7 linked regions of the Sus scrofa genome follow. The protein of the gene in region 2 binds, or shares a complex with, the protein of the main gene of each other region. Links are inferred from orthologs where the notes say so. Each region holds a gene or a part of one and is shown on either strand. Other genes may lie near its edges. The genes, in order: SNRPD2, SART1, SNRNP200, PRPF4, LSM4, UBL5 and PRPF3.

Evidence for each region.
Region 1: SART1 (region 2) and SNRPD2 share a complex: the UniProt entries of both Homo sapiens proteins name them as parts of the U4/U6-U5 tri-snRNP complex. The link is inferred for Sus scrofa from reciprocal best matches to the Homo sapiens genes SART1 and SNRPD2.
Region 3: SART1 (region 2) and SNRNP200 share a complex: the UniProt entries of both Homo sapiens proteins name them as parts of the U4/U6-U5 tri-snRNP complex. The link is inferred for Sus scrofa from reciprocal best matches to the Homo sapiens genes SART1 and SNRNP200.
Region 4: SART1 (region 2) and PRPF4 share a complex: the UniProt entries of both Homo sapiens proteins name them as parts of the U4/U6-U5 tri-snRNP complex. The link is inferred for Sus scrofa from reciprocal best matches to the Homo sapiens genes SART1 and PRPF4.
Region 5: SART1 (region 2) and LSM4 share a complex: the UniProt entries of both Homo sapiens proteins name them as parts of the U4/U6-U5 tri-snRNP complex. The link is inferred for Sus scrofa from reciprocal best matches to the Homo sapiens genes SART1 and LSM4.
Region 6: the proteins of SART1 (region 2) and UBL5 are in contact, whole or in part, in a crystal structure (PDB 4PYU), measured with the Homo sapiens proteins. The link is inferred for Sus scrofa from reciprocal best matches to the Homo sapiens genes SART1 and UBL5. Residues at the interface, in NP_005137.1 of Homo sapiens: Ser117, Leu118, Ser119, Ile120, Thr123, Leu126, Arg127, Leu130, Leu132, Lys133, Leu135; in NP_001041706.1 of Homo sapiens: Met1, Glu3, Arg15, Lys17, Cys18, Asn19, Asp21, Asp22, Asp26, Lys29, Leu30, Ala33, Gln34.
Region 7: SART1 (region 2) and PRPF3 share a complex: the UniProt entries of both Homo sapiens proteins name them as parts of the U4/U6-U5 tri-snRNP complex. The link is inferred for Sus scrofa from reciprocal best matches to the Homo sapiens genes SART1 and PRPF3.

Annotation. Positions count from the first base shown.
Region 1 is NC_010448.4:52,035,341-52,039,509, reverse strand, and holds the end of SNRPD2 (small nuclear ribonucleoprotein Sm D2), read left to right. Parts: intron 1-3,352; coding exon 3,353-3,527; 3' UTR 3,528-3,610; downstream 3,611-4,169. UniProt on the Homo sapiens protein: Plays a role in pre-mRNA splicing as a core component of the spliceosomal U1, U2, U4 and U5 small nuclear ribonucleoproteins (snRNPs), the building blocks of the spliceosome.
Region 2 is NC_010444.4:6,366,825-6,370,418, forward strand, and holds part of SART1 (U4/U6.U5 tri-snRNP-associated protein 1), read right to left. Parts: coding exon 3,549-3,594; intron 2,884-3,548; coding exon 2,757-2,883; intron 2,632-2,756; coding exon 2,526-2,631; intron 1,979-2,525; coding exon 1,901-1,978; intron 1,792-1,900; coding exon 1,692-1,791; intron 1,609-1,691; coding exon 1,466-1,608; intron 1,348-1,465; coding exon 1,141-1,347; intron 426-1,140; coding exon 301-425; intron 224-300; coding exon 90-223; intron 1-89. UniProt on the Homo sapiens protein: Plays a role in mRNA splicing as a component of the U4/U6-U5 tri-snRNP, one of the building blocks of the spliceosome. May also bind to DNA.
Region 3 is NC_010445.4:46,956,534-46,960,127, reverse strand, and holds part of SNRNP200 (U5 small nuclear ribonucleoprotein 200 kDa helicase), read right to left. Parts: coding exon 3,425-3,594; intron 3,328-3,424; coding exon 3,163-3,327; intron 2,939-3,162; coding exon 2,817-2,938; intron 2,575-2,816; coding exon 2,431-2,574; intron 2,333-2,430; coding exon 2,156-2,332; intron 1,905-2,155; coding exon 1,744-1,904; intron 1,662-1,743; coding exon 1,580-1,661; intron 365-1,579; coding exon 272-364; intron 173-271; coding exon 29-172; 3' UTR 1-28. UniProt on the Homo sapiens protein: Catalyzes the ATP-dependent unwinding of U4/U6 RNA duplices, an essential step in the assembly of a catalytically active spliceosome. Plays a role in pre-mRNA splicing as a core component of precatalytic, catalytic and postcatalytic spliceosomal complexes.
Region 4 is NC_010443.5:253,904,812-253,909,067, forward strand, and holds the start of PRPF4 (U4/U6 small nuclear ribonucleoprotein Prp4), read left to right. Parts: upstream 1-1,446; 5' UTR 1,447-1,652; coding exon of another isoform or gene 1,653-1,843; 5' UTR 1,844-1,983; coding exon 1,984-2,010; intron 2,011-2,782; coding exon 2,783-2,960; intron 2,961-4,256. Other genes in the region: anaphase-promoting complex subunit CDC26, read right to left, coding at 1,653-1,843. UniProt on the Homo sapiens protein: Plays a role in pre-mRNA splicing as component of the U4/U6-U5 tri-snRNP complex that is involved in spliceosome assembly, and as component of the precatalytic spliceosome (spliceosome B complex).
Region 5 is NC_010444.4:59,498,182-59,502,389, forward strand, and holds the start of LSM4 (U6 snRNA-associated Sm-like protein LSm4), read left to right. Parts: upstream 1-1,378; 5' UTR 1,379-1,494; coding exon 1,495-1,497; intron 1,498-1,746; exon of another isoform or gene 1,747-1,807; intron 1,808-3,469; exon of another isoform or gene 3,470-3,909; intron 3,910-4,208. UniProt on the Homo sapiens protein: Plays a role in pre-mRNA splicing as component of the U4/U6-U5 tri-snRNP complex that is involved in spliceosome assembly, and as component of the precatalytic spliceosome (spliceosome B complex).
Region 6 is NC_010444.4:68,705,188-68,708,475, forward strand, and holds UBL5 (ubiquitin-like protein 5), read left to right. Parts: upstream 1-1,395; 5' UTR 1,396-1,399; coding exon 1,400-1,455; intron 1,456-1,659; coding exon 1,660-1,743; intron 1,744-1,903; coding exon 1,904-1,941; intron 1,942-2,668; coding exon 2,669-2,712; 3' UTR 2,713-2,762; downstream 2,763-3,288. UniProt on the Homo sapiens protein: Ubiquitin-like protein that plays a role in cell proliferation and sister chromatid cohesion by associating with spliceosomal proteins. Participates thereby in pre-mRNA splicing by maintaining spliceosome integrity.
Region 7 is NC_010446.5:98,768,871-98,772,977, reverse strand, and holds the start of PRPF3 (U4/U6 small nuclear ribonucleoprotein Prp3), read left to right. Parts: upstream 1-1,253; 5' UTR 1,254-1,373; intron 1,374-4,107. UniProt on the Homo sapiens protein: Plays a role in pre-mRNA splicing as component of the U4/U6-U5 tri-snRNP complex that is involved in spliceosome assembly, and as component of the precatalytic spliceosome (spliceosome B complex).

The sequences.
Region 1 (4,169 bases), on a different chromosome or scaffold from region 2:
AAAAAAACCAAAATAACAACAACAGCAAAAAACCATTGGCAGTCCTCAGCATCAGGGAAGTGCTTTCCTCTCGGCAGGGGGGTGAAGCTTACCTCTGGATTGCTTTTGCCAATGGCTACTGTGGGACCAAGAACAAAGCTTTCACTCTGAGCCTCAATTTACTCTTGAGTAAAGTGAGAACGAGAACGATAGGAAGTGCCGAGCCCAAGGAGGCAGATAGACCTGGATTCGAACTCAGGCTCTGCCTCTTCCAAACTGTCTGACCTTGGGTGAGTGGCTTCATCCCGCTCTTCTCAGTTTCCTGCTCTGGAAGCTGGAAGGAACTCCAATGTGTGCCTCCTGGGGGTGAGATGCTGTGAGGATTGATGAGTTAATGCTTAGAAAGTCTTGGAGTTCCTGTCGCAGCGCAGTGGTTAATGAGTCCGACTAGGAACCATGAGGTTGCGGATTTGATCCCTGGCCTTGCTCAGTGGGTTAAGGATCCAGCATTGCCGTGAGCTGTGGTGTAGGTCGCAGATGCGGCCTGGATCTGGCGTTGCTATGGCTGTGGTGTGGGCTGGAAGCTGCAGCTCCGATTAGACCCCTAGCCTGGGAACCTCCATATACCGCAGGTGCGACTCTAGAAAAGACAAAAAGACACACACACACAAAAAACTTGGAGGAGTTCCCGTTGTAGCGCAGTGGTTAACGAGTCTGACTAGGAACCATGACGTTGCCGGTTCGGTCCCTGCCCTTGCTCAGTGGGTTTACGATCCGGCATTGCCGTGAGCTGTGTGTAGGTTGCAGACGCGGCTCGGATCCTGTGTTGCTGTGGCTCTGGCATAGGCTGGCGGCTACAGCTCCGATTGGACCCCTAGCCTGGGAACCTCCATATGCCGCGGGAGCGGCCCAAGAAATGGCAAAAAGACAAAAAAACACAAACAAACAAACAAACAAAAAAAACTTGGAAAGTCTTAAAGAGGCCTAGTAGTGGAGTTACTGTTGTGGCGCAGTGGAAAGGAATCTGTCTAGTATCCACGAGGATGCGGGTTCAATTCCTGGCCTTGCTCAGTGGGTCGGGGATCCGGCGTTGCCCTGAGCTGTGATGTAGGTCGCAGACGTGGCTCAGATCTGTGGCTGTGGCATAGCCCAGCGGCTACAGCTCTGATTCGACCCCTAGCCTGGGAATCTCCATATGCCTCAGGTGTGGCCCTAAAAAGACAAAATAAAAAAAAAGTTTCCAGGAAGTTCCCGTCGTGCCGCAGTGGTTAACGAATCCGACTAAGAACCGTGAGGTTGCGGGTTCGATCCCTGCCCTTGCTCAGTGGGTTAAGGATCCGGCGTTGCCGTGAGCTGTGGTGTAGGTCGCAGACGTGGCTCGGATCCTGCGTTGCTGTGGCTCTGGTGTAGGCTGGTGGCTACAACTCCGATTCAACCCCTAGCCTGGGAACGTCCATATGCCGTGGGAGCGGCCCAAGAAATGGCAAAAAGACAAAAAAAAAAAAGTTTCCATCCAATTTCTCCCCAGTTTGTCTAGGTCACCCACGGTCACCAGGCTCTAGGTGGCTTTCAAGGGTTCTATATTGGGAGTTCCCCTGGTGGCTCAGTGGTTAACAAATCTGACTAGCATCCATGACGATGCAGGTTTGATCCCTGGCCTTGCTTGGTGGGTTAAGGATCTTGTGAGCTGTGGTGTGGGTTGCAGAGGCGTTGCTGTGGATGTGGCGTAGGCTGGCAGCTACAGCTCCGATTAGACCTCTAGCCTGGGAACTTCCATGTGCCATGGGTGTGACCCTAAAAAAGAAGAAAGAAAGAAGAAAGAAATCCTTTCTGAAAAAGGATTCTGTATTGGACACCTGGTGGAGTATTTGCTTTTCCTACTCCCGTCTTCCTACAGAAAGTGTTTTCGTTGTTTCAGAAGATGGCTTTCTGTGCATACTGTTCCCTTCCTTGCTTTTCCCGCCCAATGCTATGTGCTCAAGGTCACGCCACAGCGAGGACGGGGCTTCCTCAGGGGTCTCCTTTCTCAGGCGGGATGATACCTCCCTGTAACCTCCTGTCCCTTTACTTTGCTTGAATTTTTCTTCATAGCACTGACACCACCTGCCAGTAGATTTCAGGTGTCTTGTTTACCTGCTGAGTGTTCTTCCCCCGTCAGTCACTAGAGTGTCTGTCTCTCTGTTGAGTGAGCTGAATCACGTGTCCCGCCCACCCCGCCCCCGGCACCCTGAGGACAGGGACAGAGCAGAACTGGAGCAGAGGCATCACGTACCCCGTCAGGCCACCAGGGACTGCTGGTTCTCCAAAGAGAAGCTGTTCCTTTGCTGATGCCTTCAGAAGTGCTCAGAGTTAAAAAGCACAAGCAAAACCATTTATCCTGTGCCTGGCCCTGTTCTGAGTGCTTGATGGGAATACCGTATCGATTCATTTATTCTTCACAACAGCCCGAGGAGGTGGGCTCTGTGAACATCTCCCTCTTGCTCTCCTCTCCTTTCCTGTCTTTTCTCCCTCCCTCCCTTCTTCCCTCCCTGCGGCCAGTGCCAGGGATCTGATCTGAGCCACAGTTCTGCAGTTGCGAGGTCGGTGCTGCTGCTGCGCCAGCAGATCCTTTGACCCGCTATGCCGGGTCAGGAATCAGACCTGTGTCCTGCAGGACACTGCAGAGATGCCCCTGACCCCGTTGCACCACAGCAGGAACTCTGAGCATCCCTGTTTTATTTATTTATTTATTTATTTATTTATTTGCATATTCTTCCATTTTATTTTATTTTTTATTTATTTATTTATTTATTTATTTTGGTCTTTTTTGCTATTTCTTGGGCCGCTTCCGTGGCATATGGAGATTCCCAGGCTAGGGGTCCAATCGGAGCTGTAGCCACCGGCCTATGCCAGAGCCACAGCAACGCGGGATCCGAGCCGCGTCTGCAACCTACACCACAGCTCACGGCAACGCCGGATCGTTGACCCACTGAGCAAGGGCAGGGACCAAACCCGCAACCTCATGGTTCCTAGTCAGATTCGTTAACCACTGCGCTACGACGGGCACTCCTTATTTTTTTTTTTTAATAATTTTTTTTATTTTCCCACTGTACAGAAAGGGGGTCAGGTTATCCTTACATGTATACATCACAATTACATTTTTTCCCCCACCCTTTCTTCTGTTGCAACATGAGTATCTAGACAAAGTTCTCAGTGCTATTCAGCAGGATCTCCTTGTGAGCATCCCTGTTTTAGAGAGGAGGAAACTGAGGCACAGAGGGCCGAGGGACTCACAGAGGAGGCCTTGGAAGCCGGCCAGCCTGGTCCCGGGCCTGCGCTGCTGGAGGAGGGGCGGTCAGGGTCCCGCTCACTCCCGATGCTCCCTCCCCGCCAGGCACTGCAACATGGTGCTGGAGAACGTGAAGGAGATGTGGACTGAGGTCCCCAAGAGCGGCAAGGGCAAGAAGAAGTCCAAGCCCGTCAACAAGGACCGCTACATCTCCAAGATGTTCCTGCGCGGGGACTCGGTCATCGTGGTCCTGCGGAACCCGCTCATCGCCGGCAAGTAGGCGCCCGCCCGCCCTCCTGCTCCCTCCTTCGTGAAGACCTGCCCTTCGTGATGGGAATAATAAAGTCCTGCGTTTTTTCTAGAGGCATCTGTCTGTTCCTGGGGCCTAAAAAGTGGGGCTGAGCCGGGGAGGGGGCAGCTGGCCATGAGGCTGAGCCCTGGGGAGGGGTCCTCCCTGAACCGTGAAGAGGCCTGACTTGCCCCATCCGTGAGGGGAATGGGTTGAGCAGAGAGAGATTTTGCTGTCTTTTCTGCTTAATTTCTTCCAGCTACTCATCGTTTTCTCTGTCTCCCTTCTCCCTACTTCTCTTTCAGTAAGTTGGTTTCACTCTTAAGTTTCTTTCAGTCTTTTTTGTTTTTCTTCATTTCTTTAGTCAAACGATCCCCCAAGTGTCTCCTCTGTGCCCAGCTCTGTGCTGCAATGTTGTAGACACCGCTGTGCCCAGAAGAGCCCCAGCCTGCCCGCCTGACAGGAGGGGAGCTGCATGGTTAAAGCGGTCAGTACCCCAGGCTGACACCTGCTGAGCTGTGAGGGCTCCGGGCTCTGAGCAGGCACTGTGGTTTGTCACCTCCAGCTCCAGAGGCTGGGACTGAGGCTCGGAGAGGTGATGGCACCTGGCCAGGGCTGTCCAGCCAGAGTGGT
Region 2 (3,594 bases):
GCCTGCCTGCTCAGGTCCTCTCCGGGGCCCCGGGCCCCCCAGGCCCCCGTCCCACCCCCTCTGCCCCCTCTCAGCCGCTGGGCCCTCACCCTCGTCGCTGATGTCCATGTTCTCCACACGGGTGTCATCTGACTGCGGGGGCAGAGGCACCGGCTCCTTCTCCTCCTCCTCCTGGGCCTCCTCGTCCGCCTCGGGCACTCGGCGCCGACCCCGGCCCCGCAGCCTGTGGGGAGAGGCCTCCGGGTGAGCTCCGGCCCCGGCCGGCCCAGCCCCCCACGCCAGGCCCACGTCTGAGCCCACCTGGAGCCGAAGTCCCCGTCCTGAGTCTGGTCCCCGAGAGGCAGCAGGTCGTCGGCCCGCACCACCACCTCCTTCTCCTTCTTGCGGATCTTCTTCACCCTCCGCTTGGTCTTTTTAAAAGTCACCTGGAGGGAGGAGAGCAGAGGAGACGCGGTTTCGGGGAGGCTGGCAGCTCGGGCCCACGAGAAGGCAGGCCGCTCTAGTGCTACCCTGGGCCGGCCATGGTCCTGAGCGCCTCAGCCACGTGAACGTGACACAAGGTGTGGACGCCCCTCACTCCACCTGTGAGATGAGGAAACCCGAGCTCAGAGAGGCTAAGCGCCTCGTCCAAAGTCACCCAGCCTCCCAAGCAGGAGAGCCAGGACCCTGCATCCCGGGAGTCCGGCTCCAAGGTCTGGCTCTTAACCACTGAGCCAGGCCATCTAGCGAGCCAGCTGCCCACCTGCTATTCAATCTTCCCACATGCAACATCTACTGACAGCTACGGACTCAGCGCTCAGCACGCGTCACCAGTCCTTGTAGCAGCCCCTTACTCGGTGGCTCCTGTCACCCGTTTCAGACCAGAGCTCAGGCCTGTCGCTGAAAGACTCACTCTGTGTATAGACTGACTATGTGGCAGAGCCTGAACAGCAGCACAGGGCCACCTGGCTCACGGTCTTTGCTCTGTGTACACCCACCGCTGCCCTGCAGCACCAGGGCTGCCGGTTACTGCTTGTCCACAGGGACTGAGCACCAGGCCATAACGCGACCCTCCCACCTCTGCTCATCCTGGTGGCAGGCGATCGCGGAGGGGAGGCAGGATCACGACCGATCGTGTGCGGATGGGGCCCCAGGGCTCACCATCTCCTCTGGCGTGAGGTACTCAGAGGCGAGCCGTGGCCCAACCGAGCTCAGGGACTGAGCCTGCAGCCGCAGCTTGGCCCGGATCTCTTCCAGCTCCCGTTCCCGGAGGCCGTCGGCCACGCCGCCCTGCTCCAGCCGGAAGGACTGCGGCCGCTCGCCCTCGAGCTCCTCGTCGTACTTGGACAGGATAGAGCGGGGTTTCTGCTGCAAAGCAGGAAGTACAGGTTGGGACCCAGCCTGACCCCCGAAAAGCCACAGAGCCACCATCGCCTCAGGGGCTCCTCGGCCGCCACCGCTGCCGCCCTCTGTGCTGCCGGCCTGCCTGGGCCAAGTCGTCCACGCTCTCGTTCTCCGCGTACGGCGAGTAGTCGGGCTTCCTCTTGCGCAGCTCCACGTTTTTCTCCGCCCGCTCCTTGTCTAGCAGGTTCACGTTCACCAGCACGTCCTCCTCCTCCTGCAGCACCCCTGGAGACGAGGCAGACGCAGCAGCCGGTCACGCGCGCCCTCGGCCCGGCCCGTGCCCAGGCGGAGCACCCCGCTCAGCCCACCTTTGTCCTTGAGGGTGAGGATCACCGTCTCCCCCTCTCGGAAGGCGTCGATGGCGTGCTCCACGGTGAGGCCCTGCAGGTCCCGGGCGCTGTACAGGTCCTAGGCAGAAAGAGGGGTCCAGCTCAGCCGGGAGCCGACCCGCCCGGCCCTGGGATCCCAGCACCGGGATGGCAGCCCCCCGCCCCCCCATCAGCTGCTGAAGCCTCACCTGCCGCCTCTGCTCGAACTCTTCCTCCACCAGGGTGCTGACACCAAACTCCTGGTCCATCTCCTCCAGCAGCTTGGCCTACAGGACAGGGAGGGGGTGACCTCTGACCTCACGCTGTTCGGGATCTCCAGAGGACACGGGGCCTCACTGAGGGGGGAGCTCAGAAAGCACATGCCGGAGTTCCCGTCGTGGTGCAGTGGTTAACGAATCCGACTAGGAACCATGAGGTTGCGGGTTCGGTCCCTGCCCTTGCTCAGTGGGTTAACGATCCGGCGTTGCCGTGAGCTGTGGTGTAGGTTGCAGACGTGGCTCGGATCCCGCGTTGCTGTGGCTCTGGCGTAGGCCGGTGGCTACAGCTCCGATTCAACCCCTAGCCTGGGAATCTCCATATGCCGCGGGAGCGGTCCAAGAAATAGCAACAACAACAACAAAAGACAAAAGACAAAAAAAAAAAAAAAGCACATGCCTTGCAGACAAGCTGCCGAGAACCCAACACAGGCACCACGGACCATGGGCCTCCTACTGCTCTGGGCCCAGCCTCACTTCTCCAGGTCAGCCCCTAGCCTCACCAGCCAGTCAGGCCACCAGAGGTGCTAAGCCACACCCCGGCTGCCCAGGACCTCACCCTCTTCTCTGCCAGGTCCTTCTCCTTCTGAAGCTGCCGGCTCCTCTCGATCCAGGCTGCAGTGTCGTCCAGCCAGGGGTCATCCTCCCCCAGAGTCTTTATCTTCCTGAAGAGGGGCGAGAGTGACCCTCTGGGGAGCCAGTCCCGGCTCCCCGACCCACCTTGGCAGCTCCTCGGCGCCTCCCCAGGCCCCCACCCCACCCCCCAGCCTGCCCAGCTGGGACCCCTCACCCCAGCTTCTGGTTGAGGAGGCGCTTTTCTTTGGCAGCCGCCAGCTTCTCTCGGAGTTCTTCTCGCTGTCGCAAGGCCATGGGGTTGATGACATCGGCAGTCACGGGCTCCTCCTTGGTGCCCGCCTCTGGAAGGGAGGCCCAGACGTGAGGCTATGCCTGCCCATGGCTGGTGGGGAGAGGAGGGAGCCACTCACGCTGCCCCTTCCAGCTCAGGGGCCAGAAGGTCCTTCACCCCCCCACTCCCACAGGATCCCGCACTCCCATGTCACCCCCCAGGCCTTCCTCCAAACCCCCTCTGATCACATTTGTTTTGGGGGGGGGGCATGCCTGTGGCATACAGAAGTTCCTAGGCCAAGAATCAAACTCTCAACACAGCAGTGACCTTAGCCACAGCAGCGACAAAACTGGATCCTTAACCACTAGACCACCAAGGAACTCCCCTCTGATCATACTTTTAAAAAAACCGCAAAAACACACTCAACACCTACACAGGCCAGATTAGTGCACAGCAACTGTGCAGATCTCTCGGCCCATCTAATGCTACCTCACAGCCAGAGTGAGGTTGTGACGCCAACTGCTCCAACAGAAAGAAGGAGCTGAGTCCCGGATCCGCGTCACAACAGCCGGGAGGGCCCCGCCCCGTGCCCATCGCAGCACGCACGCGCACACGCGGGACCACGACTGGTGCTGAACCTGTGCCTCGGCCCCACTCTCCTCAAAGACCGCTTCAGGGGGCCTCCCTCTGGACCCGACCAGCCCACCCTCCCTCCCTCCTCAGTCCCACGCTCACCCTTCTTGACGGCATTGACTTCCAAGGGTTTCAGCCCCAACTTTGC
Region 3 (3,594 bases), on a different chromosome or scaffold from region 2:
TCCTGTTCAAGAGCAGGTGCCTCTGGACTCAATCTGAGTCACTGTCTGTCTCAGCTTCTTTCACATCCACACTGAATTTGTACTCCTGGTCACACCCCATGTAGGCGTCACTCATGAAGTACAGAGTGTAGTTGTGGGCACCAGTGGCCGGGGCCACGAAGTCAAGCTTCACCTAGAGAGAGCAGGTAGAGCTCAGGGTGAGCTCCGATGCAGAGGAAGAGTTCTCACCCTGCCCACCTCAGAACGCGCTGGGGCCAGTGGACACACTCACCTTGGCCTTCTGCTGCAGGGTCAGCCTCTTGATGGAGATGAGGCTGTTTGACTTGGCATCTCCAATCACCACCCACCAGCCCTCTTCACGTTTCTGTAGTGACCAAAAGCCAACAATTTCAGAGTATTAAGACTTGATGGGAGTTCCTGTCGTGGCGCAGTGGTTAACGAATCCGACTAGGAACCATGAGGTTGCGGGTTCGATCCCTGCCCTTGCTCAGTGGGTTGACAATGCGGTGTTGCCGTGAGCTGTGGTGTAGGTCGCAGACGCGGCTCGGATCCTGCGTTGCTGTGGCTCTGGCGTAGGCTCTGATTCGACCCCCAGCCTGGGAACCTCCATATGCCGCGAGAGCAGCCCACGAAATAGCAAAGAGACAAAAAAAAAAAAAAAAAAAAAAAAGACTTGATGGCCATGACACCAGGAGAAAAGAAAGTTACAACAAAAACCAGAAAGAAAGCTTTCTAAAATTTCTTCCCAAAATTAATTTAAGATTTTAAACTGTCTAAAGGTGTCTCAAGAGAAATCAACTTTTAGGTAGGTAGGTGAACTCATTTGTTGGTTCTGGCTCCTTTCCTGGTCCAAGTCCCTTCTCCCATTCAGTGCTTGCCACTAAATCCAAGATTCCACGATTAGACATCTAGTCTGTGGGGCCTGGCAACCTGGACTTCCTCAGAGACCCTTTCAAGTGAAAGCATGTATGTCAGAGGAAAACATGGCAACATGGAGATGAGCCTGCCAGTGAAGAGGATCCAAAGCAGGCCTGGCCTCCATAAAGAATCCCTCTCTGCTGGCTGCTCCTCTGCCAGAAAGCCCAAGAATTCCAGTTAAAGTGCTCTTTCCTCAGAACCTATTAAACACATTTATAAAATTAAACATTAGTGTATCTAGTTTCTGCTTTCAGCCATCAGTCATTCTCCCCTGTAAGGGGTCAGATTTCCTTTTGGGCAGTAAAGAGCCAAGCTACTGGAAACAGTATGTAGCAGTGAGAAAGGGGGGAGAAGAAACACCAGCTAGAAAAGCCCAATTATCCTGGACCACTTAGAGGTAAAGATAAATGATTCTTCATAGCCATGGATATCGACGGCACTGCACAACTGGGACTTTGAACCAGTCACCTAAATTGCTTTAAAGCAAAAACTCCCACCACAATCACCCATGGCCCCAAGATTAATCCTCACCCAAATGACTTGGGTATTACTCTAAATACCAAATACCTGGGTATCACTCCAGTGACTGTGGACCCCTTGGCCCAGACTCTAGCCAGCTAGTAGGGCCTCAGGGCAGCCCTGGTAAAGCTAGTAGCCGTACCTGTGGGAAGAGAGGTGCGATCACAGGGCCTGTGACTTCTTCCTCTCGCTCCAGCTGCACCAGCACCACAACTGGCCCACCACTGCAGGGACAAACACAAGGTATGCATCAGAGCTGTGCCCAGTGGGGACCCTGGGGGAGGGCCTTGGCCCTCTCTGGCTCACCTGCGGATACTGTCCTTATCCACCACTTCGTAGGACAGCTCGATGTTGGGGTAGCGGTTACAGAACCGGGCCACGTCTGCAATCTGGCTGTCTGACAGTTGCAGCAACGCGTTGCGCTCCTCATCTTCCATCTCCATGATGTCGAAGACACTCTCCACCCCCTGCAGTAGGCGTTCAGAGGTCAGGGAAGATGAGGGAATGCAGACTAGCAGCAAAGGGAACTGGCTCCAAAGAACAGCTGATTTGACTTCCTACACTACCAGGTCACCTAAAGACTCGGCCCACAACCATCAGGCTCTCTAGCATCTCCGTGGGTAACACCTTCAGAAAAAGTCTCCCCTCCCACTACCCCCGCCCCAGCACAGGACACTCAGGCTCGGCCACCAACACTCCAGGCCCAGGCCCGGCTCACCTTGTCTGTGCAGCGTTTGATGTGCTCTGAGGTGAAGTGTGGCAGCTGTTTCAGGTATGAGTCCTTGGACCACATGGCCTGCGTGACCATCTGGGCCAGCTCCATGGCTGCCAGGGCTGGGCTGAGCCAGCCGTTGCTGGAGAGGACATCCACACAGGCCTGGATGAGCCGGATGGCCTGAACACGGGTAGGAGAGCAAGGGAGGGTGGTTCAAAACTGCTGCTTCAGATGGCACGTGGGCCACCCCTGTGCCCAGCCCCGTGCCCAAACAATACCTTGCTAAGGATTTCCTCTGTATCCGACTGCAGCTCAGCACTCAGCTGCATGCGGGACAGGTGAGCCTGCAGAAGCAGGTTGGTCTTCACGTGTGGGTCGTTGAACTTGGGGTTATTCAGCTTGTGGGGGACCTTCTGAGCCAACTGGAATGTGGAAGAAAAAGAGCCGGTGATGAAGAGGTGGCCCTGCTCTGGGGCCCACAGCTCCACCTGACCCAGGCTCACAATACTTCACAACACAGGGGCGGGTGGAGGGGTGCATCTTGGGGGCTGAGACGTGTGTGGAGGCAAGTGAGGCCTGAGCCAGTGGCGACGGGGGATCACGTGCTGTGGGCACACCGCCAAGTTTCAACTCCAAGGGTGTTCTGAAGCCATGACAGCCTCACCTGCCGAAGCAGGTTGTCTTCATGGTGTCGGATGGGAATGTTCTCATACTCAGCCGCATTGGAGATGATCTCAATAAGCCCTCGCACCTTGGTCTTGGCGTTCAGGGACATGCTGAAGAGCTCTGGGAAACAGGGAAGGAGATGTGGGAGGAGTCAACGCAGACAGAAAAGGAGCAGGGAGGAGAGTTAATGCCTGGGCTACCCCACCTCTGCCCGCATTGCTTTCCTCTGGCAAATACACAGGGCCCGGGAAGGCTGTCATAACTCATCCCTCTGTGCTGCAGACCCCGCCTAGGGTCCCTCTAAGCTCAGGTTCCCCTCAGACCAGCCCCCGGTGGCCCCGCACCAATGGTGGTATAGTTGATGTAATAGTAGGCAGCAATCATGCCCAGGTTCAGAGGCGCCACGTCCATCTCGTCCTCAATACTGATGCACTTGGACTGCTCCAGGTCACTCAGGGTCTGTTCCACAAGCTCTGACAAGTGGTCAGACAGGTGACGATGGGAGATGCCTGCGAAGGTGAGAGGTAAGCGGGGAGTCATGGGGAGGTGGCAAGCAAGGGCTGTGGAAACCGCAAAAGGATAACATGTGCTCCTAAGCCCGCTGACCCTGCAGGTTGTAATAGTTGGGGTTCTGTGTCATGCGGCGGTACAGAAAGGTCCAGGTGAGGTAGTCCACGGCGTCCTGCTTGTTCTCGATGGTCTTGGTGACAATCTCTGCATTGAAGTGGTCATGCATACAGTGGTCCAGGTGAGACTCTACTGGCAAAGGCTCATAT
Region 4 (4,256 bases), on a different chromosome or scaffold from region 2:
GTATAGATTGCAGACTCGGCTCTACATGCCACTGCTGCAGCCCAATAAAGACAAAAGACAAAATAAATAAATAAATAAAATGAGGTATGTACAGTTCCCATCGTGGCGCAGTGGAAATGAATCTATCTGGGAACCATGAGGTTAAGGGTTCCATCCCTGGCCTCACTCAGAGGGTTGAGGATCCGGTGTTGTGGTGAGCTGTGGTACAGGCCGGCAGCTGTAGCTCTGATTAGACCCCTAGCCTGGGAACCTCCATATGCCGCAGGTGCGGCCCTAAAAAGCAAAAAAAAAGTATGTACAAACATAAATGATTATTACATGTTTCTAGGATGTAGCTAGGGACTGTGAAGTATACAAAAGATAAAATTTCCCCTCCTCCCATGAAGCCTGGGACTGAGACAAATGATATTATCAACACAAAACACTGACACATTACATTTCAAATTTTTTGGTACTAAATCAAATACGATTTTTTTTTTTTTTTTTTTTTGTCCTTTTAGGGCGCTCCCACAGCATATGGAAATTCCCAGGCTAGGGGTCTAATCAGAGCTGTGGCTGCCGGCCTACGCCAGGGCCACAGCAATGCCAGATCCGAGCCGCGTCTGCGACCTACACCACAGCTCACCCTAATGCCGGATCCTTAAGCTCCGGATCCAACTGAGCAAGGCCAGGGATCAAACCCACAACCTCTGGTTCCTAGTCGGATTCGTTTCTGCTGCGCCACGACAGGAACTCCCAAATCAAATAGGATCTTGATTCCAACGTAGACAAAGGCAAGAGGAAGCCAAAGTTCCAAGAGAATGCTTAAAAGAAAAAAACAACTGTGATACATTCTAACTTTCCCGCAAGCTGTAAAAAGCTCACCACTATGAAGAAGTATAGTGTAATGGGTAAAAGTGCTTGCTTTGGAGGCAAAGGGCAGAGACTCAAATTCTGTTGCCACTGATTTTGGACAATTAGCTTCGCCTTTCACTAGATCTTAGCTTCTTCCCTTGTATCTGTACTCAGGTGTTGTATGGATTGAATGACGTGATGCAGATAAGTGCCTGTAACGTACGTAACTTGGCATTTAGTAAACGCTCAAATATGTAGCCATTATTATTGTAACTGCCCTTGGAGAGGGTAGGAGGCTCTGTCCAGCTCGGGAAACAACAATAAATTTTGAAAAATCTCCACCCCCGATACGGGAGCAAAAACCTTGTCTTGTCGATCTCTGGTGCCCCAACACCCAGGGCAACACAGGGCTGTGCAGAGCTGCTTGCGCGCAGTTTACCTGACGCCTGACATTCTTCATCTCACTCCGAGTAATATAGACCAAACACAGGCCATGGCTCCTCCGCTGGCTCTTTATTTTACTCTGGCGCTAGAGGGCTCTTCGAGCTTATTCTTTCGCCACTGCCCAAATGCACCGAAAATCCACCCAGCTCAAAAGAAGCTGCCGAGAGAACTTCCCGACAGCGGAGGAAAGCACACTCCTTTCGCGGCTACAGGACCGCACTCCTGGGTCCGGGGCAAAGGTTTCCATGGCAACATGGTCCACCACTCTAGGAGGACTTAAAGCTCTTCGCAGGGCCGGGAGCGGCAGCAGACCCCGGAAGGTGCCGTTTCACTCCCGGAGTTCAGTCCGGAGGCGCGCGACTTGAAGCACCTACCTCTTTTCAGCCCTTTCCCGGAACCTCAGCGCCCACCCCGAATCTTCTGCTATGTCAACTGCACTACACCTCCCAGGTTGCTCTGAGTCTCTCTCCTCGCAGAACCTCGTCCTCCGCGTGCTCTTTTTAGAGGCTGTACGTGTCACAACGCTCAACGCACCCAGAGCCTTTCCTACTACGATTCCCATCATGCTCTACGGCGCCCAGGACGCGGCTTCGGCCCTCGGCCCACTTCCGGTCTGGACGTAATTCCGCTTTGTTAGGCGCGCGGTGGATGGTCTGGAACGTAGGGCTCGCCTCTTGCTGAAGCTTCGCGGCCTCGGAGCCCAGCATGGCTTCCTCGCGAGCCTCCTCCACGGTACGGATCTCGGCTCACTCTGGCAGGGCAGGGAGGGCGGAGGGGTGGGGGGTCCGTGCAGAACAGAGCCGTTAGGGAACGGGCGGTGGAGGACTGAGGAGGAAGGCTGCCAGACTCGGTCTGGTCTTAGAGAGCTGAGCAGCGTTTTTCTTTGAGTGACCGGAGTGTGTTTTAGGTCATTTTCATCTCTTACTACAACAACCCTAAAATGTAAATACCTCTTCCGTCTCGTTCAGAAACGGAGCTCTGAAAGGGAGTAGGGTTTTGGCCAAGATTTACGACAGTGTCAGTCTTGATTATAATGAGGCCTCCTAACTTCATATCTACTACCTCGCGTCTGAAAACGTTTGAATTGTATAGACCGGTAACTTTATAACTTGTTCCCCTTTATCATGGCGTTGGTTATTTCAGTTATTCTTGATATCTCCTGTGATGAGCAGTGGCCCTGAAAGTTTCATAAAACCCAAGAAGAGATTGCACCTCCAACCAAATGAAGTAAACATGTTCCAAAGCAAACCATTGATAGAAAAATCACAAGAGAAATTCACTAGTTTTATCTATCTCTTCCTATCTGCAAAACTTAAAGTGACTGAGAGACTGGAACACTCCCCCCTGCCCCACTCCATCAGGGAAGATACATCTTAATTGGTGTCCAACTTGTCTTTTTTGGGGGAGGGAATAGGATTGAAGCTCTGGATAAGCTTCATCCTCTGGGAAGCTAGCAAATTGCTGAGATTAAGCTTTAGGTTCATCCAGGTCTTTGATTTAACAGGCAACCAAAACTAAGGCACCTGATGACTTAGTCGCTCCTGTTGTGAAGAAACCACACATCTATTATGGAAGTTTGGAAGAAAAGGAGAGGGAACGGCTGGCCAAAGGAGAGTCTGGGATTTTGGGAAAAGAAGGACTTAAAGCAGGAATTGAAGCAGGGAATATTAACATAACCTCTGGTAAGATGCAAACTGTAGTCCATCTCTACTTTGGGTGCTCAAAATTTCTGTAATATTTACTTTCCTAAACGTAGATATCACAAGTATAGTGTCAGAAAACTTCGCATATTAAACTTGCATCTATTGGTGTTCCTATTGTGGCTCCCGGGTTACACGAACCCAACTTGTATCCAAGAGGATGCAGGTTGGATCCCTGACCTCATTCAAATGTGGATTAAAGGATCCACTGTTACTTTGAGCTGTGGTGTAGGTCTCAGACGTGGTTCAGATCCCAAGAGCCTGTGACTGTGTTGTAGGCTGGCAGCTGCAGCTCCAGTTTGACCCCTGGCCTGGGAACTTTCAAATGCCCCAAGTGCGGCCCTAACAAAGCAAAAAAACAAAAAAACAAACAAAAATTTGCATCTTTCGAAGGCCATACTTTCTGCCTACCCATTTAACATTACCCCAGAGCCTTTTTTCTTTTAACTTTTTTTTTTTTGTCTTTTTTGCCATTTCTTGGGCCACTCCCACGGCATATGGGAGGTTCCCAGGCTAGGGGTCTAATCGGAGCCGTAGCCGCCAGCCTATGCCAGAGCCACAGCAACTCGGGATCCAAGCTGCGTCTGCAACCTACACCACAGCTCACAGCAACGCCGGATCATTAACCCACTAAGCAAGGCCAGGGATCGAACCTGCAACCTCATGATTCCTAGTCAGATTCGTTAACCACTGCGCCACGACGGGAACTCCCAGAACCTTTTTTCTTAAAACCTTTTATACAGGTTTTCTTCCCTGAATTGTTAATAATTTTACTGGGAATTTATTCAGTGTGTGTTTGGATTCAGATTGATTCCACTTATCTTATGGATATCTAGGATAGTTCTGGCATTGGTTTGGAACTACCCTGGTTCATAATATTCTAACTTGTTCAGTTTTCCAATTATTTTTCACCCAAAATGAAATATCTCTTTCAATTAAAAGCAATAGCTGTTTTTATTTTGAAAGAGATTAGTTAGAAATGTGTGAGGTAGAAAAGCCTATAATCCTTATTAATTAGGTCTATATTATTCCAAGAATTTAATAAAGCTACAGAAATACAAGATTTTTTTCTATAAATGAAATCATGATAAATTATTTCGTAACCTGCATTTGTCATTCTGTTTACTGTTGAGGATATCTTTTGATGTCAGTAACTAGTGGTCCACTGTTTTTAAAATAAAATTATTCATATTTGTCATAAGAAATTCAAATCGTACTGAAAGGTGTAGAAAGACCTCTGCAGATAGGATTCTGTCATTTCTATTAATACTCCCACAC
Region 5 (4,208 bases), about 53 Mb from region 2:
GTCCCTGCTCCTGCTCAGTGGGTTGACGATCCGGCGTTGCCGTGAGCTGTGGTGTAGGTTGCAGACGCGGCTCGGATCCCGCGTTGCTGTGGCTCTGGCGTAGGCTGGTGGCTACAGCTCCGATTCAACCCCTAGCCTGGGAAACTCCATATGCCGCGGGAGCGGCCCAAGAAATAGCAAAAAGACAAAAAAAAAAAAAAAAAAAAAAGAGGAAGAGTTGAGACACAGAGACACACAAAGAAAAGCACCATGTGATGACAGAGGAATCTGTGCCAAGAACTACAAGGATTGCTGGCAGAGAAGCATGGGATGAATTGCCCCTCAGATCCTTCAGAAAGAACCAACTCTGCTAAAACTTTGATTTCAGTCTTTCGGATTAAGTTTTACTGTTTAAAACCACCCAGTTTGGAGTTCCTGTTGTTGCTCAGCAGTAAGGAACCGGACTAGGTATCCATGAGGACTCAGGTTCAATCCCTGGCCTCAATCAGTGGGTTAAGGAAGCTGCGGTGTAGGCCACAAATGCTGCTCAGATCCTGCATTGCCATGGCTATGGTGTAGGCAACTGTAGCTCCATCCAATTCGACCCCTAGCTTGGGAACGTTCATATGCCATGGGTGAGGACCTAAAAAGCAAAAAATATTCAAATAAAAATAAAAAAATAAAACCACCCAGTTTGATCATTTGTTATGGCAGCCCAAGGAAACTAATACATTTGTCTATTTTGTTTACAGTCTGCCTCCCCAGTGGGCTCCTAAACCTCAGGAGGGCCAGGAGTTTTGTTTGGTTTATTCTCTTCTGTGTTTCCAGGAGGAGGCCCGTAGTAGATGCTCAATAAATATTTATTGCATGTCCGTGTATCAAGTGCTCAGTACGTGCCGGGCACTCTTCTTTTACAAGGCATAAATCACTTGGCACTCATTGCAACCTTCTAAAGCAGACACTATTATTAAGCCCATTTCAAAGGGAAGCAAACTGAGGTTCACACCGGTACGTCTAGCCTATCAAAAGAAGTGCCCTGGACAACGGTCAACTACAATAAAGAGAATCAGAAGAGTAGGAGCTCGAAGGGACACATGGCAATAACCATAGAGCTGCCATTCCTCCATTTGGAAATTGGAGGCACTACCCCGTTTTGCCCACAGCGTGGAGCCCGGAAAAATCACTGAAGATTGCACCTGCGCAGGCGCCCTTACCCACAAGGCCTCCTGCGCCGGCGCACATTGCTCCGCCCCCTTTTGCAGCACTCATAGCGGCACTTTACGACTCTCTCTCTCATTTCTCCGGTAGGAACGCGGCCCGCCCCGCCCCTCGTGTTTAATAGGCCCCGCCTTACTCCGCGTGGATTGGTTGGCCTTCCCATGAGCCTCGTGCTGACTGGCTCGCGTTGCTGCCACTCCATTTCAGCCTAGTGGCGCGCAGAGCTGCAGCTACCGGCGGGAACGTGAGCGGCGGCGGCGGCGGAAGTAGCCCACGAGCCTAGTCCCCGCCGACACCATGGTGAGGGCGGTGCGACGGGGGAGCCGGCCGCCAAGGGCCCTCGGGGCGGTTGTTGGTTCAGGGGCGTTGTGGAGCCAGCCTGTAATCTGGGCCTTGAGTCCTGCCCCTTCGCCCAAGGTGGGGAGGACAGGCCGGAGAGTGGAAGAGCTTCTCCCAGGACACCAAGCACGTCGGTCTCGGGGGAGCTTGGGATTGGATAGAAATGAAATCACAGTATGGCAGTCTGGCAGCAGTCTTCCCATTTTGCAGATGGGGAAACTGAGGCCAGAGAGGAAGGGGACCTGCTGAAGGGCCCGGTGAATGCAGCAGAGTGAGTTTTCGGACGGGGAAATGGCTCCCAGTGCATCCGACCCGATCTGACCTCCTAGACAGTAAAGCTAGAGCACCAGGCAGTAGGGGGCCGGCCTTCTTTCTCAAATTCAGCCAATCTGGGGAATTTCGGGGGTTGTACTGCCCTTGGAATGCTAGCTGCGCAACCTCTTATGCCTCTCCTTTTCAGACTAAAAAGCAGACCCAAAGCAAGGTTAACTTCTTCCGGGGTCACACAGCATATGGTTCCAGGGGAAGGGGGGGCGTTTTCAGCCATGGATGGGCTAACCGTATCCCAGTTTAGAAAACAAAAAAATCGAGGCCCTGGCAGGAAGTCTCCCCAGGGCCATGCCATCTCACAAGTTGTGGAAATTGGAGATCTAAACCAGCGTGCCTGTGTCCCCAGTGAGTGACAGACAGGGAAATGGAGGCCCACACAGAGGAATTGAGCTGGGAGAGAACCTGGCCCATCAGCCCTCGAGTCCTCTAAGATGGTCGCTGCACATTTTTCGGAGCTGACCATGAGGGTTCAGTAATTCTTCTGGTCATTGTAGGGATGGAGAGAAGGGAGCAGCTTCGTTCTCTCTGTTCGTCTCTCTGGAGGGTAGAGTTGGTCTGTGGAAGAATCCATTTGTTAAGCTCCATGGAGATAGGATCTCTGTTTTATCCTCATATATTGCCAGAGCCTAGAACAGTGTCTGTGCAAAGTCTGTGTTCAGGAGTGGCTAAGGCATTACACACTGCCTGTTCCTTGTGGTCGGGGTGGGGCGGAAGCCAAGCCAAGGTCTGGGTGAGGGAGTGGGTGATCAGCAGCTTCCTGAGTTGGGAACCTCAGGACACCATTAAATCCAGTTGTGGAAGTTTCCATTGTGGCACAGCAGAAACGAATCCGAGTAATAACCATGAGGTTGGGGGTTTGATCCCAGGTCTTGCTTAGTGGATTAAGGATCCAGTGTTGCTGTGAGCTGTGGTGTAAGCTGCACACGTGGATCAGATCCCATGTGGCTGTGGCGCAGGCTGGTGGCTGTACCTCCAATTCGACCCCTAGCCTGGGAACCTCCATATGCCATGGGTGCGGCCCTAAAAAGCAAATAAATAAATGTATTTAGGTGTGGATGGACCTAGACCTGAGGGCCAGACCCCAGATGTTCTGAGAAAGGCTAGAGAAAAGAATTCTCTTCCCTGAAGCTTTTTATGACTCCAAATTCCACACAGCCCTTGCTCCCCCCTGAACTGGGTGATCTGCCCTCTCCTGTATCCCTGGCACCTTCATGCTTTCCCCCACCCCAGCATACCCCTCGCTTTCAAGTTCACCAGGTTCCTCCTCTTCCTTTGGCCTTTGTCTCCAACAGCGTTTGGGAACAAGGAAGTAGATATGACCACTGCTGCGGTTGTTGAAGTCTTGGAGGGCTGTCCCAATGCCACCTTTCCCTACCTGAGCTTCTCCTTTTCCTTGTCTTGTGAGGTGTGGCAAGTATTCCCCACCCCACCCCACCCCTGTCACCACCCCCTGCCTGGAGTGCCTCCCTGGGTGGTATGTGCTATATTTGTCAGCAAATATTTACTGAGTCCCTTGCATGTGCCTGGCCCAGTGTTCAGCACTGGACAAAGTCCACACCCTCTGAATTTTCCAGTCTAGCAAGAGGCTTGGTGTTTCCAGTCTAGCCAGGGAGACGTAATAAATAAACAAGTTAATTAGAGACTGGCTATACCCTATAATAGAAGCAGAGGGTGGCCCAGGTGGAAACCTCATTCCCTTGATGGGGTTATAATGAGGGGCTGGCTGAAGCAGAAGTCACCAGCCTGGGGGAGGGCACCCCAGGTAGAGGGAACCAAGGAACAAAGTTTGACCAATAGCACCAGGCGTGGTGTGAAGAAGTGAGCGGGCCAGTTTGCTAGAGCCGTGTCAGGCCTGGCTCTGTGGCTAGCCAAGGGAGCGGGTGTGCAGGGGAGGGTGTGAGCAGGTGCTGGTTCCATCTGTGTCGCTGCCGTCCTCTGAGGTCACACTGCTGGCAACAGCTGCAAAGGCTGTGGGTCCTCCAGGGGTGTGCTACTCGTAGCTGGGACAGGATGGTAGCCTGAGAGAGACAGCCTGAAGGCAAGGTATGCCATAAAAGGACATCTGTGGGTCTTCTGCTAACAGGCATTAATCTGCTTTCCCCGGCTTTACCCAGACCTTGCTCTGTATCCTTGGGTGTCCCTCCTAGCTGCTGGTACCTCATCTAGAGGGGCCTTGGCTGTGCTACTCCTACTCCCTCCACCTCTCCACACAGTCCATTTTCATTCTCACCTTCCAGGACAGGGGCTGGCCTGGCCCTGTCCCCGTCTCCGGTGATCTGGGAGGAGGACTCAAGTGTGTCATTGCTCTGGTCCTGATTCCCGTTGTGGATACAGCAAACAGG
Region 6 (3,288 bases), about 62 Mb from region 2:
TTTAAGGCAGCGCAGCACAGACAAGGTTACCAAGCATCTGCCCTTTCCCCAGGATGGAATCTCATGTCTTTCACCTAAACTCATCCCAATTTGAGAAAGTGTACCGGTTGAATCAGAAGTGGAGGCCCCTTTTCAGAGTGAATCCTTTTATGCTTTCCAAACTAGGAGAATACTGTCAGCTGAGAAAGTACAGTTCAACGGTTAGGTCTGTCTACTGGCAGGCTGGATCTAGGGAGGGGTGTTCCGTGTCACACCAGCCCTGGATCCGAAAGGCAAGGTTAGGATCTGGTACAAGGTGCCCCCTGCAGGGCGTGAGAAACAGCCCTGGGAGATTTTGCGCTTGTGCAGCTTCCAGCTTCCTTGTCAGTGTTGCAGGTTGGCGTGCAATGGGAACTTCATTCTGGTAAATACTAGTATTCAGGCCAGGATCAGGAGGCTCCTTCGCTTGCTGGCTTTAGTTTGCACCCCAGATGTCCCTGGCGAGATAGCCAGAGGGGAGGGCTGAGCAAAACGTTTCCAAACCCTGAATGAAGGCAGGAGGGCGGACCGGATGCCTCAGAACTCGACCTAAGCTCCCCGTAGCCCTGAAGCTGCAGTTAGAGGCTTCATCGGGTTCAAGAACAGGAGGTCATCCCCCCTTCCCAGGACGTCCCTCAGGAGCCCCTGGCCTCCCCAGCAGATGCCACACCTGACGGCGTTTCGGCACAGTGAAGGGCTTTCAACCAACGGCATCCAATCGGCTGGGCGCCAGTCCATGACCTCTGACTCTCCATGTTCCTTCTCCGCACGGGCTGCGACCTTCACTTGGCCCCGTGCACCGTCTGCAGGTGTCCTCCTGCCCAGGCTTGGGACCACAAATCCGCTCCTGGGAACCGACTTCCCGCCCAGGAGGCGGCGAACTCTGCGGAGTGTTGACAGGCACTGGGAGGAGCCAGGGCCAGGGCTTCCGGCCGAGCACTTCCGCTTCCGGTTCTTAGCGTCGACTCTGTCCCAGGCTCTACCTTCCAGCGAAGAGGTTGTGGCGTCTGCTGGTTCCAGGCGTTTCTTGGTGAGAGGGCCGGGTGGAGAGGGCTGGAGTCGGGGAAAGCTGATGGAACTTGACCATAGTGGATCAGCGGGACTGCGAGAGGCAAGGCGGGGCCTTCAGGCTACCTGAAGCGGGAAGGGGCCAGGGCGGGGGGGCAAGTGGGGGGTGGAGGTTTGGCTGCCTGGGTTCCACGGTCGCCTGGAGTCTGAAGTCCTTGGACACAGGATTCGGGGCCCAGGAGGACCTCAGTGTCGGGGATTGCGCGGGGCGTGAATGTAAGACTCAACAATTGGGGGTCTTGGGACCCTGGAAGACCCCTGAAGTCCAAATTCTCTTGCCTCCTCATCCCCACCCTGTGTAGCTCCAGACAGGATGATCGAGGTTGTTTGCAACGACCGTCTGGGGAAGAAGGTCCGCGTTAAATGCAAGTATCCTTTGGCGGCCAAGAGACAGTGGTTTCCTGGGGGTGCTTGGCTTGAGGCGGGCTGCTCAGTCTGTGCCGTAGGGTGATTCTAGTTAAACCTGGGAGGCGGGGACGGGAGTGGGATCCTGGCAGAGTGCATTCGGTCCTGGAATGCCCTCTTCCTCGTTCTATCTCCCCCTTCCATTTTCCTTAACTCCTTCGTGCCCAGTACGGATGACACCATCGGGGACCTTAAGAAGCTGATCGCAGCCCAAACTGGCACCCGTTGGAACAAGATCGTATTGAAGAAGTGGTGAGTACAGTGGTGGAGATGGGAGCTGGAAAGGAGCTGGCCAGAGACTTTGGGTGGGTGAGTGCTGCAGCCAGCCCTTTGCTCAGGCAGAACTCCTCAGCATGCCTCCAGAATGAAGAGCCTTTTTAAAGTTTTTTTCTGAAAACTTTTTATCCCTTAGGTACACGATTTTTAAGGACCACGTGTCTCTGGGGGACTGTATCCTTTGTGATTTCTTGAGGAAGGGTTTTCATACCCAGACTTGGTTCTCCTTGTTCTATATATAGACTGGAGTCTATATGAGATTATGCACATAATGTATTTAACTTAGTATGTGGTACATGGTGTTTAGAAAATGGGAGCCATGTGATTATTTTGTTGGGGCAGGAGGGTGGTTGGTGAAGTATTTTGACATGGCTTCTAAGACTTTGACACTTTGGAGTTCCCATCATGGCTCAGCAGTAACGAACCTGACTGGTATCCATGAAGACACGGGTTTGATCCCTGGCCTCGCTGAGTGGGTTAAGGATCCAGTATTTTGCCCTGAGTTGTGGTGTAGGTCACAGACGAGGTCAGATTCTGAGTTGCTATTGCTGTGGCTATGGCATAAGCCAGCAGTTGCAGCTCTGATTCGACCCCTAGCCTGGGAACTTCCATATGCTGCAAGTATGGCCCTAAAAGGCAAAAAAAAAAAAAAAAAAAAAAAGAGGGTTTGCAGTCAAAATATTTATTACTGAGTTCCACCTTAGTTGGGCAGGAAGTCACGGTGGAGTAAGACTCAGGCTTATGTGTTGTACAAGAGGATCATGTACTTTTTATTTAAAAGTTTGGATTCTTTTCAAATCAAAATGACCTAGTCCAAAAATGTGGCTACCAGCTGTGAGAGATGGGAGGGGTGGGGGGGGTTCAACCCCACCCTGATGATTCCTTGACTCATTTACTTCAGATGAAATCCATGATGGGATGAACCTGGAGCTTTATTACCAATAAAGCAGAATTCCTTCCCCCCCTACCTTGCCCTTCTCTCTTCTCCTACCCTCACCCCCCACAATAGTGTGGCTGCTTGTTTTTGAAAACTCATGTTAATAAAAACTTAGAGGCTACTTCATTGTTGTCATCTTTGAGTGAGGGCTGTCTCTTGAGGGGAGGGTTGGTATGTGGTTGTCACTATCTTCACAGTAACTAGCTGCTCAGTAAGAGTTCAGGATTGACTGGATCAGTGAAGAGTCAGCCAGTGGGCTGGGAGCCTGAGTTGGAAAACCAGAGCTTTGGGGCTTGCCGTATGTTTCTGAAGGTCAAGAAATCCTGGGATCACTGGCATCCTAATAGATAGAGGAACCTCTGAGTAAGAACAGTAGGTGCAGTAGTTAGGAATACTGGTTTGAATTCAGACAGACTATAGGTGGAATCCCACCTCTGCCACCAGCTGTGACTCTGCACCATGTTACTTAATCTCCCTTAAACTTCATTGCCTTATCCAAATTGGAAATGATGGTATTTACTTCTTTGGTGTGTTATGGAGATGAGATAAAGCATAGTTAAGCAGCCACATCTCCTGGTACTTAT
Region 7 (4,107 bases), on a different chromosome or scaffold from region 2:
TGTGCCAGGCCAGGGATCAAACTTGCATCCCAACACTGCAGAGATGCTGTGATCCTGTTGGGCCACAGTGGGAACTTCATGAGTTTAGCTTTATATAAGTTCTTTACTGAGGGAGACACAGGTTTAAGAAGCACTTGAATCGTGTTCTGCTGGACTACAAAATTGGGGAGGCTTACAAGCTTACAGGTAGTTAAATAAGTTGTTTATTAAAAATTATAATTGGAGGAATTATAATTGGGGTTAAGAACTAGTATCCACGAGGATGTGGGTTTGATCCCACATCAAACTGGCCTTGCTCAGTGGGTTAAGGATCCAGTGTTGCAGCAAGCTGCAGTGTAGAACACAGGTGCGGCTCAGATCCAGTGTGGCTGTGGCTGTGGCACAGACCAGCAGGTGCAGCTCCGATTCAACCTCTAGACCAGCAACTTCTGTATTCTGCAAGTTAGGCCGTAAAAAGGAAGAAAAAAAAAGAAAAGAATTATAATTGGAGCTGGCAAGAAGTAAAGGTGCTTGTTAGGTAAGGATTAGTTGAGGACCAAAATGGTTGATTAGGAATTCCTGTCCTGGCTCAGCGAGTAAAGAACCCCACTAGTATCCATGAGAACACAGGTTCCATCCCTGGCCTTGCCCAGTGGATTAAGGAGCCAGTGTTGCCCTGAGCTGTGGTGTAGGTCACAGTCCTAGCTCTGATTCTGCGTGGCTGTGGCATAGGCCAGAAGCTGCAGCTCTGATTCAACCCCTAACCCGAATTTATATATGCTGCAGGTGGGGCCTAAAAAGTACTAGACTGCCAGCAATTATTTGTTTTGCGAATGAATGGAAGAAAGAAACAAAGGTGTGTGAGAGGGTACTATCTTCAGACTCCTCCCACACTAGTCGGTTTTCTGGGTCTCTTGGCACCACTGTTAAGGACAAAGGCTAAGGAGAGAGTGGTTAATACTAACGATCACTACTCTGAAGTTTACTTCCTACCAGAAAGTCCAGGTTTAGCCCAAACGCAGAAGCTCTGCTTTTAGTTCTAGCCATAGCCTTAGCGCACTTATTCTCCACGGGAATACTACAAGCAGCTCAATTTATGCTTCAGGTAACATTAATTTTGCGCTAATGTAGTTAACAGGTTTAGCACGGGGAACCGAAGGAGCCAAGTAGCTTGCCGGGGGAAATCGTTACGGCTCCGCCACGCATGCGCTCCGCCGCGGAAAAGTAGCTACTACGGCTGCGCGAACCGGGGCCCCGCCCTCTTTCGTCACAAGTTGTGGGACCGTGGCGAGGCAGCAGCCGTGGCGGTAGCGACGGCAGGCCGTAGGGCGGTCGGAGGGTTTCCGGTTCCGGTGTAACGTTCGGGCTCCGTCTCAGGGGCTGAAGTTTGTGAGGTGAGTAGTGGCCCCGGGCCCAGAGAGGGTATGCTCGGGTCCTAGCGGCTGGGGCTAAGTTTCAGTCCAAAGGGAGGACCGAGGCGGGAGGTTCAACAGAAAGGAGGCTGAGGAAAGAACCAGGTTCTGTGCGAGAACGGGTTGGAATGAGATTGTTGAGAGGAAAAGGGCGGGGGCGGGAAAGGGACAGGGTGAGGAGACTACCTCTGAGATGAGTTTGGGTAGAACAAGGTGGGGAAAGGGTCCGGTCAGAGAGATGGAGAGAGCAAAAAGCAAAGGATAGGGTTTAAGGGAGGAAATTCGACTTGTAGCAAAGAAGAGCACGAAGTAAGGAATTCCTTCAGAAGATTAGATTCTGCTACCTGCTCATTGAGATCATTCTGCCTTCCTCTCTCTCCCTCCACACCGTAACCACCCCCACCCCGCCCCACGCAGTTATTGTTGAACGTCTGATTAATGACAAAGCTAGTTACTATTTGGAAGTTTGATTTTTGCCCACTGACTGTTTAGTCTGCACGTTATATTATGGAGGGAATGGGTTGAAATTGAGTACATAAGTATAGTGCTTGGGCATACGGTTCGTTTATAGAGTGGTACCCCGTTTATTGCTTTGGATTTTCAAACGGCTTAAACTTTCTAATCTATGATTCAGTTCTAGTGGAATATAAGCCCTCTAAGGTGAGGATTCTTGTCTCTTTTGTTCACTGTTGTATGTATCCTTGGCAGTATCCCACTACATTAACACTTAGTTGTTGTGCAGTAAATACTTACTGAATGAATTAAGTGCCAGATAGCTATGGCAGTTGTCCTCCTTTTGTAAGATGAATGAACTGAGGCTCAGAGGAATTGCTTGACAGAAGGTTAGTAAATGGAAGAGCTCTTTCTTCACTCCCTATGTTGTCTGAATACCCTTCTTTTGAGCATTGAACAGTTAGCATGTTGAAATTGATAAGCTATAGTGCTGTCTCATGATGGGTAAATAGAGCCATCATAGATTTATTATATAACATGTCAGTAAGACACAAAATCTTTTACTCCTAGTTTCATGACTTCACTAGCTTCATATGGTTATACCAAAATTAAATACACTGTTTAGCAACAGGTCTTATAGAGGATAAACCTACCAAGAATGCAGAAGTTAATTAGACTGTACCGGAGTTCTTGTCGTGGCTCAGTGGTTAACGAATCCGACTAGGAACCATGAGGTTGTGGGTTCGATCCCTGGCCTTGCTCAGTGGGTTGAGGATCCGGCGTTGCCGTGAGCTGTGGTGTAGGTCGCAGACTCGGCTCGGATCCCACGTTGCTGTGGCTCTAGCGTAGGCCGGCGGGTACAGCTCCGATTAGATCCCTAGCCTGGGAACCTCCATATGCCGTGGGAGCGGCCCAAGGGGGGCAAAAAAAGTTTTAAGATATCTTTTCTCCTAAAAGGTACAGTGTAATTTTTTTTTCTTCTTTCTGGATATCTTTTCTCCTAAAAGGTACAGTGTAATTTTTTTTTCTTCTTTCTGCCATTTCTTGGGCTGCATATGGAGGTTCCCAGGCTAGGGGTCTAATCGGAGCTGTACCCGCCGGCCTACGCCAGAGCCACAGCAACGTCGGATCCTCAACCCACTGAGCATGGCCAGGGATCGAACCCACAACCTCATGGTTCCTAGTCGGATTCGTTAACCACTATCCTATGACAGGAACTCCATCTTAAAACATCTTGAAGCGTTCTTTTGTAGCTCAGTGGGTTAAGAATCCAGTGTTGTCACTGCAGCAGCTTGAGATGCTTCTGTGTCGTCCACGTTCCATCCCTGGCCCCAGAACGTACAGTAGCAAAAAAAAAAAAAAAAAAGGAAGAAGAAGAATCGTATTAATTTGCATTTAAAGATTGTTCTAGAGAGTCTTTTATGATGGTGTTTTCTCTGTTAAGCTAAACAGGAGAAAAATAGAAGTGGAAAGAGAGTACATCCAAAATGAAAGTAATCTTTTCTGAACTGAGAGAATATTTATGACAGAGGCCCTGTAGAACATAAGAGAAAAATATCTGAGTACAGAATTCCCACTAGGATGAATGTGACTACAGAGAATTGTGAGAGCGAGTTCCTATTGTGGTTCAGTGGTAACAAACCTGACTAGTCACCATGAGGATTCGGGTTTGATCCTTGGTCCCCTCAGTGGGTTAAAGGATCCGGCTTTGCTGTGAGCTGTGATATAGCTCATGGACAAGGCTCAGATCCTCTGTGGCTGTGGCTGTGGCCAGCAGCCACAGCTCGTTTGGACCCCTAGCCTGAGAACTTCTGAAGATGTAGCCCTAAAAAGACAAAAAAAAAAAAAAAAAAAAAAAAATTGACAAAAACAGCCTTAAGGATTATGAGCTTTAGTATAGGATGACTGATGTGGATAAAGCCTCCCTTATTTGCATGCCTTAAAGAAGGCCTGGGTTGGAGTTCACAATGTGGTGCAATGGGTTAAGGATCTGGCCATGCCACAGCTTTGGCTCGGCTTCGTTCCCTGGCCCGGGAACTTCCATATGCCATGGGTGCTGCCAAAAAAAAAAAAAAAAAGAAGAACGGCTGGGTTGAGGAATACCTGCCTGGAAATAAGAATAGAAAAGCTGACCTCTAAGTGGACTTTATATAAATATTTGCAATCCTTGAATATGACAGAATCAAAAAAGAAGCTGGAACTCATTTCTTAGACTAGGTTAAATTCAGGGTTTGTTTATTCCACAGATTTCATTGATCCACTG